Linked DNA regions of Coturnix japonica. The protein of the gene in region 2 interacts with the protein of the main gene of each other region in a biochemical or structural test. Links are inferred from orthologs where the notes say so. Each region holds a gene or a part of one and is shown on either strand. Other genes may lie near its edges.

Region 1 (4,583 bases), on a different chromosome or scaffold from region 2:
CTTTTGATGGAAAGTGGATAGCAAGCAGAATTTGGTTTACCAGTACTATTTCCAGAGTAAGAAGTCTCTCTCTGGTGTGGAATGTGTCTCTTCATTGTCCTAGCAAATTCATACTTCAGAAGTGCTTGCTTTGTGCTGGGCTTGTTGTATGAAGTTCACAAGCATTCCCAAGAACTGGGTTAACCTAGTAGGTCACACAAGTGTACCAGCAGCATAAAGTACATAGAGAAGACCATCAACAGGAGAAAGATCTGTGGGCCTGGCAACAATACTCAGTAATCACAGCATATTATGCACTTCTACTTAACATCACAAGCAGTAGTTTTTATTTTAAACATCCTGCCTGAATACCAGCTGTTTGTTGCCTCCCCCCCCCCAGCTGACACTAAGTACAGCTGTTTTCCCACAAATCTAAGAGCTCTTCTGGTACCTTTTGCACATATTGTTTGCGTGTTTAAAGTGCTTTGTTCCCATCTACTCATGAAGTAAAGGGGCTAAACAACTGTAGCATCTACTGGGCCATTTTGTCCCATAACTAAATTATGTAGCAACTTTGTCAAGTCATTTTCTCTCAATGAGAAAGTAGGCTGTGTTCTGCAGATGTACATAGAAACACAGCAGAAGGCACATATTAGAATGGATAACCATCTCTACCTTCACAAGAGGAAAGTGATGCCAGATTTCTGGCATTTGGCCCATCCACCCGAGTTACAGTGCTGAGCACAACTGCTGATGCTCAGCCAATAGCTTTGTTTGAAGTAAAAGCATAATAGATGAGAAGGAGTGACACAAGTCAAAGAACTTGTATAGTAAAGCTTGCCATTCATCCAGCCTTCTGTCTACAGCAAGAAGCACAGAAGGCACTACTAGGTCCTGCATAGCGGAAGCATCTAATCTCACAGCACCTAACATTCAATGCACTTTAGTCAGAGTTCTCCTGTACTCTCAGTCATGAGGTCTGATAGTGAAGCTTCTGCTTTGATGGCTCACTGGACATTCATTTAGAATTCAAAGCAATCTTCCTCTTCCAAATGCAAACTTTAGTGAGTTTCTACTAACAGATGCTTCTGCTTCAGATCTGACCACATCCTCAGCTCACTCAGGTCATTTTGGAAGCCTAACTGTGCCCTAAGGGCCATTTGTGTTGGATGTGACTGCAGTGATTCTTTAAAAAAAGGCATGCTCTTTGACTCCCTCAAACAATCCTCTTCTCAGCTGAGAAGCTATCATTTGGATTCTGATTTACTCCTGCTTAGCCACCCAGAGTCTCACCTCTATCATCACCTGACACAGTGTTCGTAGGCCTTCATAACAACTTCTAACTGCACAACAGGTCACTATCAGACACCACATCATTTATTTCCTCCCCCCCCCAACATATTAGTGCCTAATAAATCTTCATAACCAACTGGAATATATAGCTTCGTAATTAATTTAATCTGAGCTGCCTATCTACAAAGGAGTTCCCATCCCTAAGCATATCAGTGCTCATTCCTGCATACAATGACCAAATCTTAAAGCCCACATGCTCTGATACCCAGTCTACCTCAGATAGAATTTTCACAGAAATTATGAAACACTCAGCAGAAATGTAACCTTCCAAGGCAAAGAAACTTTTTAAAGATAAGACAATTCCTCTCCAGCCCCCCTTCGACCCTCAACCTCCTCCCACACCCCCAAATAAAAACCTAAACAAAGTAAAGTTAATCCTACCTTAACAATGGATTTACATGCTTCCCTAGTAAGCACTCAAGTAATCACCCTCAATTCAGCTCAGGAGTAAAAGCTCTGCTAAGGGAATTCCAACTGCACAGATCTTACTGCTGGATCGCCGGCACTACCGCGGAACAGCACTCAAAAGTGTCATCATGTGATGATCACTAGGGCTCAAAGCTTCACCAGCTGAGAAGTTAGTTTTCCTGACAAGAGAGTGTTCTCACTTCAGTTAGTCCTAGAAACCATATTTGTTTACCACAAATGAATGCATCACCCTGAGATTCACCACCAGACAGAGGAGTGTTCAGCAAGGATGCTCCATCTAAAAATCAGAACAGAAAGCCTACCCCCGCTTCACTACATTCTAAGCCTTCTCTCTGCTGCTAGAAGATTCTTTCACCTCGGAGATGCATGCATATAAACACGAAGCTTCATATAATTTTTACATCTTCACCCCCTCCCCTGACAAACAAATAAAAACTCATGTTTATTTTGCTTTCAGATCGGGCTTCCTCAGGGAGCCGGCTCTGCTGCAGCCCGGGGCAGGATGCGGGCGGCTTCCAGCCCGCCGCACCCGGACAGCAGAGCGCCCCGCAGTCCCCGCGGCCCTCAGCGCCCGCACCCCGCACCACCTTCTCCTCTGCTGCGGCCGGAGCGCGGCCCGACGCCGCCGGAGCTGCAGGGAAACGCAAACGGCCCCGGTGGAAGCACCCCCCTCCCCCGGCTTTGCCATCCCGAGGCAGGGGGCTGCCGGCCCCCAAAACCCCACTATAAGGTCCCGCTGCCACGTTCTCGAAAAGGAAAGAGGCAAAAGAAAAGAGGGGGGGAAAAAAAAAACAAAAAAAACCCACAAAACAAAAAAATCGCCCTCCCTCCTTGGTTATAGCCCCTCCCGGAGGCTTGCAAAAGCCGAGTCCCCGCTCGCAAAGCTACTTACAAGCTAGATCCGTGCCGCTCCGTGCATGATCCGAGGAGAACCGCAGCTGACAGCCGGACGGGGAGCGAGGGCCCGGTTAAATATTCAGTGGCACTCTCGCCTACGGATTAGTTAGCCACTCACAGCGAGAGATATGGTTTTAATCAGATGCTGGCAGCTGAGAACTACCCAGGAATGTGCTATGATGTTTTTGCTGCTCGGTCTTGGCTACTCCCCCTCAACGTGTCGGTGCTCACAAGATTAACTCCTTGCGAGCCGCCTCTCCGGCCCCCGCCGCAGCTAGGGGGTGTCCAGCACAGCCCCGGTCACCGAGTGAGACTTGCGATGGGTGCGTGGAAGCTTGCACGTTGGTTCAGGGGAGACATATCTGGTGCTTCTCGTGCAGCGATGCGCCTGAAGCTCTCGTCTAGGAAACAGGTCCTCTCTTGTGTCTGTGTGACTGTCTGTTTATACACAGGTGTGGCAGTGTTATTAAAAATCCAATCCAAGCTGAACACTTATTTTCTGCAAAAATACCAAAATCAAAATTCCACCCTTTCCCCCCACAAATCTGTGGCTAGCTGAAACCATACTGGGATATGATTCTGTTTCTGGGCTACATCCAAACCTGACCTTTATAATTTCCACTCATCTTTATTAAAACCTCACTAATGTTTTGTTTCCCTGTGCAGTACAACAGTTTTCCAGCTCGTATGAAAGAGCCTCTGATAAAAACTCATGCTTTGTCCATGCAGAAGAGCTTTATTATTATTATTATTATTATTATTATTATTATTATTATTATTATTATTATTATTATTTTACTTCCCCCTCCCCAAAGCTGCAAACTTAATCTAACATTCATTTTCTCAAAACAGTGCAAAACATTTCTGTCCAATCTGTGCTATTGCCCTTCAAAGCAATGCCTGACATTAAAAAAAAAGAAAGAAAAAAAAGAAAAAAAAACCTTTTTTTTTTTTCCTTGAAGTAGCAATAAATTAATTTGGTAAATATTTTTTACTACTTTAGAAGAAGAAAAGAATTAATAAAAAATGATTTTATTACTGGGAAGTTAAATTTGTAAACTGATGGGTGCATCTGGTCGTGAAGTCCATCCAAAGCTACCAAGTAGCACAATACTTTCCTTGACACAACATGATGCTGCACAGGCCTGCAATGGCAAAATCTATAGGAGTCCTGTGCCTGGGGTAACTAAAAGCTGTCAGTTTTGTCTCATTTGCCCATATCAGTCTTTGATTTCAGAAGTGCTAATTTTAACCATAAAGGACTCGGAGGGACGTATTTTCGAACACCAGCCTAGCATTCATGGAGGGAAGTACATACTACTTAATGGCTCAGTAAGGCATTGCTGCAGTTAACAGGTTGCTGGCCATGCACATGTCGGTGTCTGAAGGGTTAGATGTGACTTCTTTGGGACACTGTCTTATTCATGTTTAACAATGTTGGTTTTGTACTGCTTGCACTGCACTGTGCATTGTTGTGAACACCTTGAGCTGGAGACCTATCATATCAGTGAGGTTACAGCTTCTCTGTGCTGGGGCAGTATGCATTTTAAAGTGTTATGCTTTGCTCAGCATGCACTGTGGAACTGAGTGACGCAGCCCGCCTCAAATGAAGGATGAAATTGTGCCTGGTTTAAACATGGTGCAGTAACAAAGCAGTTTCTATAATGCAGTCAGCCTGCTGCTGGCATAAGCAAGACCAACACTTGTGCTTTGCCTGGCATGAAACATAAGCACTGAAATACCTTGACTAGCTGTACAGTAGTTGTTACAAATATGATTCATACTATTTCTTGTTAAAACTGAATAGACTAAAATATTTGTCATTTGCCCATAGAAAGCAGCTTAGGAATCCTTTCAGGGTGCAATGGAATTACACCTAATGCAGAAATGCTAAGAGGCTCCTCACTGCCTACCAGCACTTGAAT
Region 2 (4,299 bases):
AAACAATGGTTTGGGTTTGCTCCATTAGCAAAATGCACAGGGCTTTCAGGGTCTGCAGGGGAATGATGTGAAGTCAGGACAACGGTGCCACTTGTGAAACACTGCACAGAGAGAAGTGAAGTGTTTATGGCCAGCTGGCCAACAAGCAGGTGGTGCCAGGCGTGCCCATAAAACCCAGGGTGGGGGAGGTGACACAGAGCTCACATGTGGGTGCTTAAGAAGGGGTGGCTATACGTGTCCTGGGCTGCATGACACACGTCACAGGTATGATGCAGTGCTGCCCATCTCTGTTGTGAACACAAACAGTGGAGCGTGGGTGACAAGATAAGTGGTCTCATTTATAGTGAGATCCAGGACACGAGCCTAACCAGGTAATGCAAATGGCAAGAAGGGCATGGCTGGTTACAGACTGAAGTGTGTTTGTTGACACTTGCAGGGCTCATTAGATATAGTATGAGGTGTTTTGAGTGTCCCTTGCCTTTGAGGGTAGAGTGGGCACTCAGCACCAGACAGGACAGGGTGAAGACTGATCCCACTCAAGGGATGCAGAGGTTGGGGGACACTCGGTACATATGCTGCACAGCCGTGGCCCTTGCCCTGCCATGTCGTGAGCTGAAGTGTGTCTGTGGGTTCCCAGAAAATAGCAGTGATGGCAGTGAGCACAGCAGGGTGCACACAAGGGGAGCTCCTGTGGAAGGAACAGAGCGATCTCCAGTTTTGAAGGTTTCCCACAGCAGAATAGAAACCATCTGTGTTATACCCTTCTGTCTTGTAGCCCCCCTTAAGATGCTGAAAGGTCGCCCTCAGGTCTCCCTGGAGCCTTCTCCTCTCCAGGCTGCACAGCCCCAGCTTCTCAGCCTGTCCTCCTCATAAGGAGGTGCTCCATCCCTTGGATCACTGTGGCCCTCCTCTGGCCGCGCTTCAACAGGTCCGTGTCTCTGTTGTACTGAGGGCTCCTCAAAAAAAGACAGACGAAAAAAGCATGAAACATCACTCCTAGCAAACACAACGGGAACCCCCATCGAACAGCAGCTATTGGGGCAGGCCCAGGAGCCCCCAGCACATCCCTCCCGCACGGCAGCGCCGCCTCCAGCCGTGAGGGCTCGGTGTTGTCCGCAGGTGAGGCGGCCCCACGCAGGTGAGCGGCCCAGGGGAGCGGGGCGGCTTCGACCCTCGGCGTCCTGCGGCCTCGTAGGCCATTGACCTCTGCTGTGGCTGCGGAGCAGGCCGGCAGCCGGGCACGGCTTCCCATCCACCTCCTCCTCCTCCTCCTCCTCCCCCGCCGCCGAGCTCCCGCCCCCGGCCGGCCCCTGTGGCGCTGACGTGCGGGCGGGTGGCCGGGCCGGACCAGGCTGCGGGGGGCGGCGCAGAGCGGCGCGGCGGTGGCAGCGGGGAGCGGAGCGGCGGCCACAGCAGCAGGTAACGCCGCGGAGCCGGGGCCGTGCTGCAGGCCGGGATCCACTGCCCTGCTCGGCGGCGGGTGGAGGCGGCGGAGGGGCCTCTCCTCGCCGGAGCGTCCCGGGCGGCCACGGGGCAGGTGCGGGCGGCTCCCGCGGGGCCCGGCAGCGGGGCTTCGGGTGGGGGTGTGTGCGAGAGGGGCTGGCGGAGTTTTGCGGCAGCAAAGGTGGGCAGAGCGCGGAGCGGGAGTTGGCGGAGCCGGGAGTGGCCGGGCGAGGCCGCCGTGCGGTACCGGGAGCCGGGCACGGCCTGTCCCGGGGAATGCGCGGAGGTGCCGGCAGCCCCGCGGGGGGCGGCGGCTCGGGCGGTTCCCCGGCTCGGCCGAGCGGAGCCGGAGTCTGACGGGCGCCTTCCTGAGCGCTCCCCGTAGGAGGAATTCATCCCAGAGCTGCCTTATCAGGTGCTGCTGGGGCTAAAGTGCTTTCTCCTTACTTCCTTAACTGAAAAGTTATTAAACATCCCTCCTCCCTCCCGCCGCCGTCCTAAGTGTAGCTCTGTATAATGCCGTGCATTCCAGCTAACGCTGAGTTTTATCCACACTCCCTTCAAAAGCAATTCTGTGCTCCTGGGATTGTCCCCGTAAAGGAAAGAAACTCTTTGCGGTCTTGTCTGGACAAAACTGGGCATGGTGTGAACTGCAGTGAAGTGCATCTCCTCTCTTCTGCCCGAGTGCTGTGGCAGGCTGCCTATGGAAAGCAGTGTGTGCCTATGGCTGATACGCTACAGAAACCCATCTCTGACTTCTTCTATTTACATCTGTTACTAAATAGGAAGAATTAAAAGTGTCTTCTTTGTTAGCTGTCACTTGAAGACGGCTCACAGTGTTACTGTAGGTACTGCTGATGCTTGCCTGATACTGGGCAATCACATTCCTGGCTAATAAATCCTGATGCTACCAGATACCTATAAAATTGAAATACCTGAATTAAAAGCTTATAGATTACAAGAATGCGTGGTTGTTACCTATTATTTCATTTAAACATTGCTGCTTGTCAGCCCTTTTCTACAGCATGTCATGCCTCCAGCCTTGGTATCCCACTGTATTCCTGAAGGAAATCAAGCCATGGAGCCATCCCGTAGCTTGCTGGCACTGCAGGCTCAGCATGGCCTATGGACTGGGTGAGCAGGTGCTGGGGGACAAAGGTTGGCCACTGTGTTCAACCTTCCTTTATTCCAAGTGTGGCATATTAACCAAGGGCAGGGATGGACTCCTGAGTTAACATTAACCTGCAGCCTTTCTTCTGCTGTCTTCTCAAGACAAAATACAATGCTAGGGTAAAGGCTGAGGGACAATAGAAGCGATTAAATGATAAAACTTGTGGAAATGTATAAGCATAAGCAAATGCCACCTTATGATGCTTGCTCAAGTGCCATAAAGCTGTACTAATGTGCAGGTTAGATTTGAAGTATATGTTTTATAAAGTAACTGCAAGGAATAAAAGTGTAAGAGTTTATTGCTGGGGTGGGATGGTAAACATCAGAATTGTTGGAGCACTGGTTAGTAAATACAACATAGGAGAGGTTTCAAAAGTAGAAGTTAGGATTTAGTTTGCCTATATTTTTAGTGGCTGTGCTTTTAATTTGTGTAAGTTACTAAATGATTCTGTGGCAATACAGTTGTGTCCCTCTGAAGCTATAAAGCCCGCAGAGTGAATGTAAAGGTAGAGAAGTTTGCTGCAAGGCTCACTGACATCATGAAGTAAGAAGCGCTTCAGTAGTAGCTTGTAGAAACTGCAAATTGAGCTTGTTTCCCTCACCTTGTATTTCTAGTTGGGTGGGTGTCTGAGTGTAACCTGTCCTGAACTCTGAGTCTGGGATTGCTACCTGCTGGTATTTGATGGACACAGTAACCATAATGATCCTGTGGATGTGCCATCGGTGTTTGGACACAGTAACCATAAAGGTCCCATAAGGAAAGTCAACTCCTGGCTCCCCACGCCTGTTCTGCAAAGGCAGCCTTGTGACTCCCTCTAACCTTCATGCTCTCTTGGTGTTTAATAATGCTGATCTGAGAAAGACCTTGAAATGTTTTGGCAGAGGAATTACAGTGTATGGTGATGTGAGCGATGTGGCCAAGGTGAGAAGGGAATAATTCTTTACTGTCGCTTTCAGTACGAAATGCCAAAGCAGGAGATTAAGCTGGCAGGTTCAAAGCAAACAAAAGGGTGTTTTTTACTTACCCAATGTGTAGCTACTTAAGCTTTGGAAATCCTTTCTGAAGCATGTGGATACCGAAAGCTCAAAGGGACAAAAAAAGCAACCGGATGAATTCATGGAAGAAAACTCCCCTGAGGCCCATCCTGTAAAGCTGCTGTGGCTCAGGGGTTGGCCACAGGTGGAGCTGGGATGGGATGCAGGCACAGCACTGTCATGTGTTTACCAAGCTTTTGTATTCATTCTAGGTGTGCAGGGCTGCGTGCAGTGCTACAGGCAGCAGCCAGGAGCAGCAGATCTGCTCTTTGACCCAGAACAGGTGATTTGGGGGAAATTATTTTTCATATGAAGAATTTGTTAGCAGCTGAACCTGAGGGACCGTGTCTGGATATATTAAGTGTGGTGACTGATCTCAAGGAGCTGTTATGTGTTGCCATTGTCAAATGGAAACAAGTAGCTCAAGCAGTACTATAGGGCAGTTCTGGCACCTGTGGATCTGATGTCTGTCTTGTGTACTGGGTTAGCACAGAATTTGAAGGAGTCAGAGGAGGCTTTCTGAGCCTTGGTTTTGATGCTGCCTTTTGGAGGATGGGGGTTTCTGATATATTTAGTGGCTGTGCTCAAGTATAAAATGCTGTGTTTAGAGGAAAGAGTTCCCATCACATAGATTGGCAGCAGTGCTGTGGG

The links.
Region 1: the proteins of MYO6 (region 2) and DAB2 form a complex in vitro, tested with the Homo sapiens proteins (7 studies listed by BioGRID). The link is inferred for Coturnix japonica from reciprocal best matches to the Homo sapiens genes MYO6 and DAB2.

What each region holds. Positions count from the first base shown.
Region 1 is NC_029547.1:11,321,502-11,326,084, forward strand, and holds the start of DAB2 (disabled homolog 2), read right to left. Parts: upstream 2,854-4,583; 5' UTR 2,654-2,853; intron 1-2,653. UniProt on the Homo sapiens protein: Adapter protein that functions as a clathrin-associated sorting protein (CLASP) required for clathrin-mediated endocytosis of selected cargo proteins.
Region 2 is NC_029518.1:73,466,528-73,470,826, reverse strand, and holds the start of MYO6 (unconventional myosin-VI), read left to right. Parts: upstream 1-1,348; 5' UTR 1,349-1,419; exon of another isoform or gene 1,420-1,537; intron 1,538-4,299. UniProt on the Homo sapiens protein: Myosins are actin-based motor molecules with ATPase activity. Unconventional myosins serve in intracellular movements. Myosin 6 is a reverse-direction motor protein that moves towards the minus-end of actin filaments.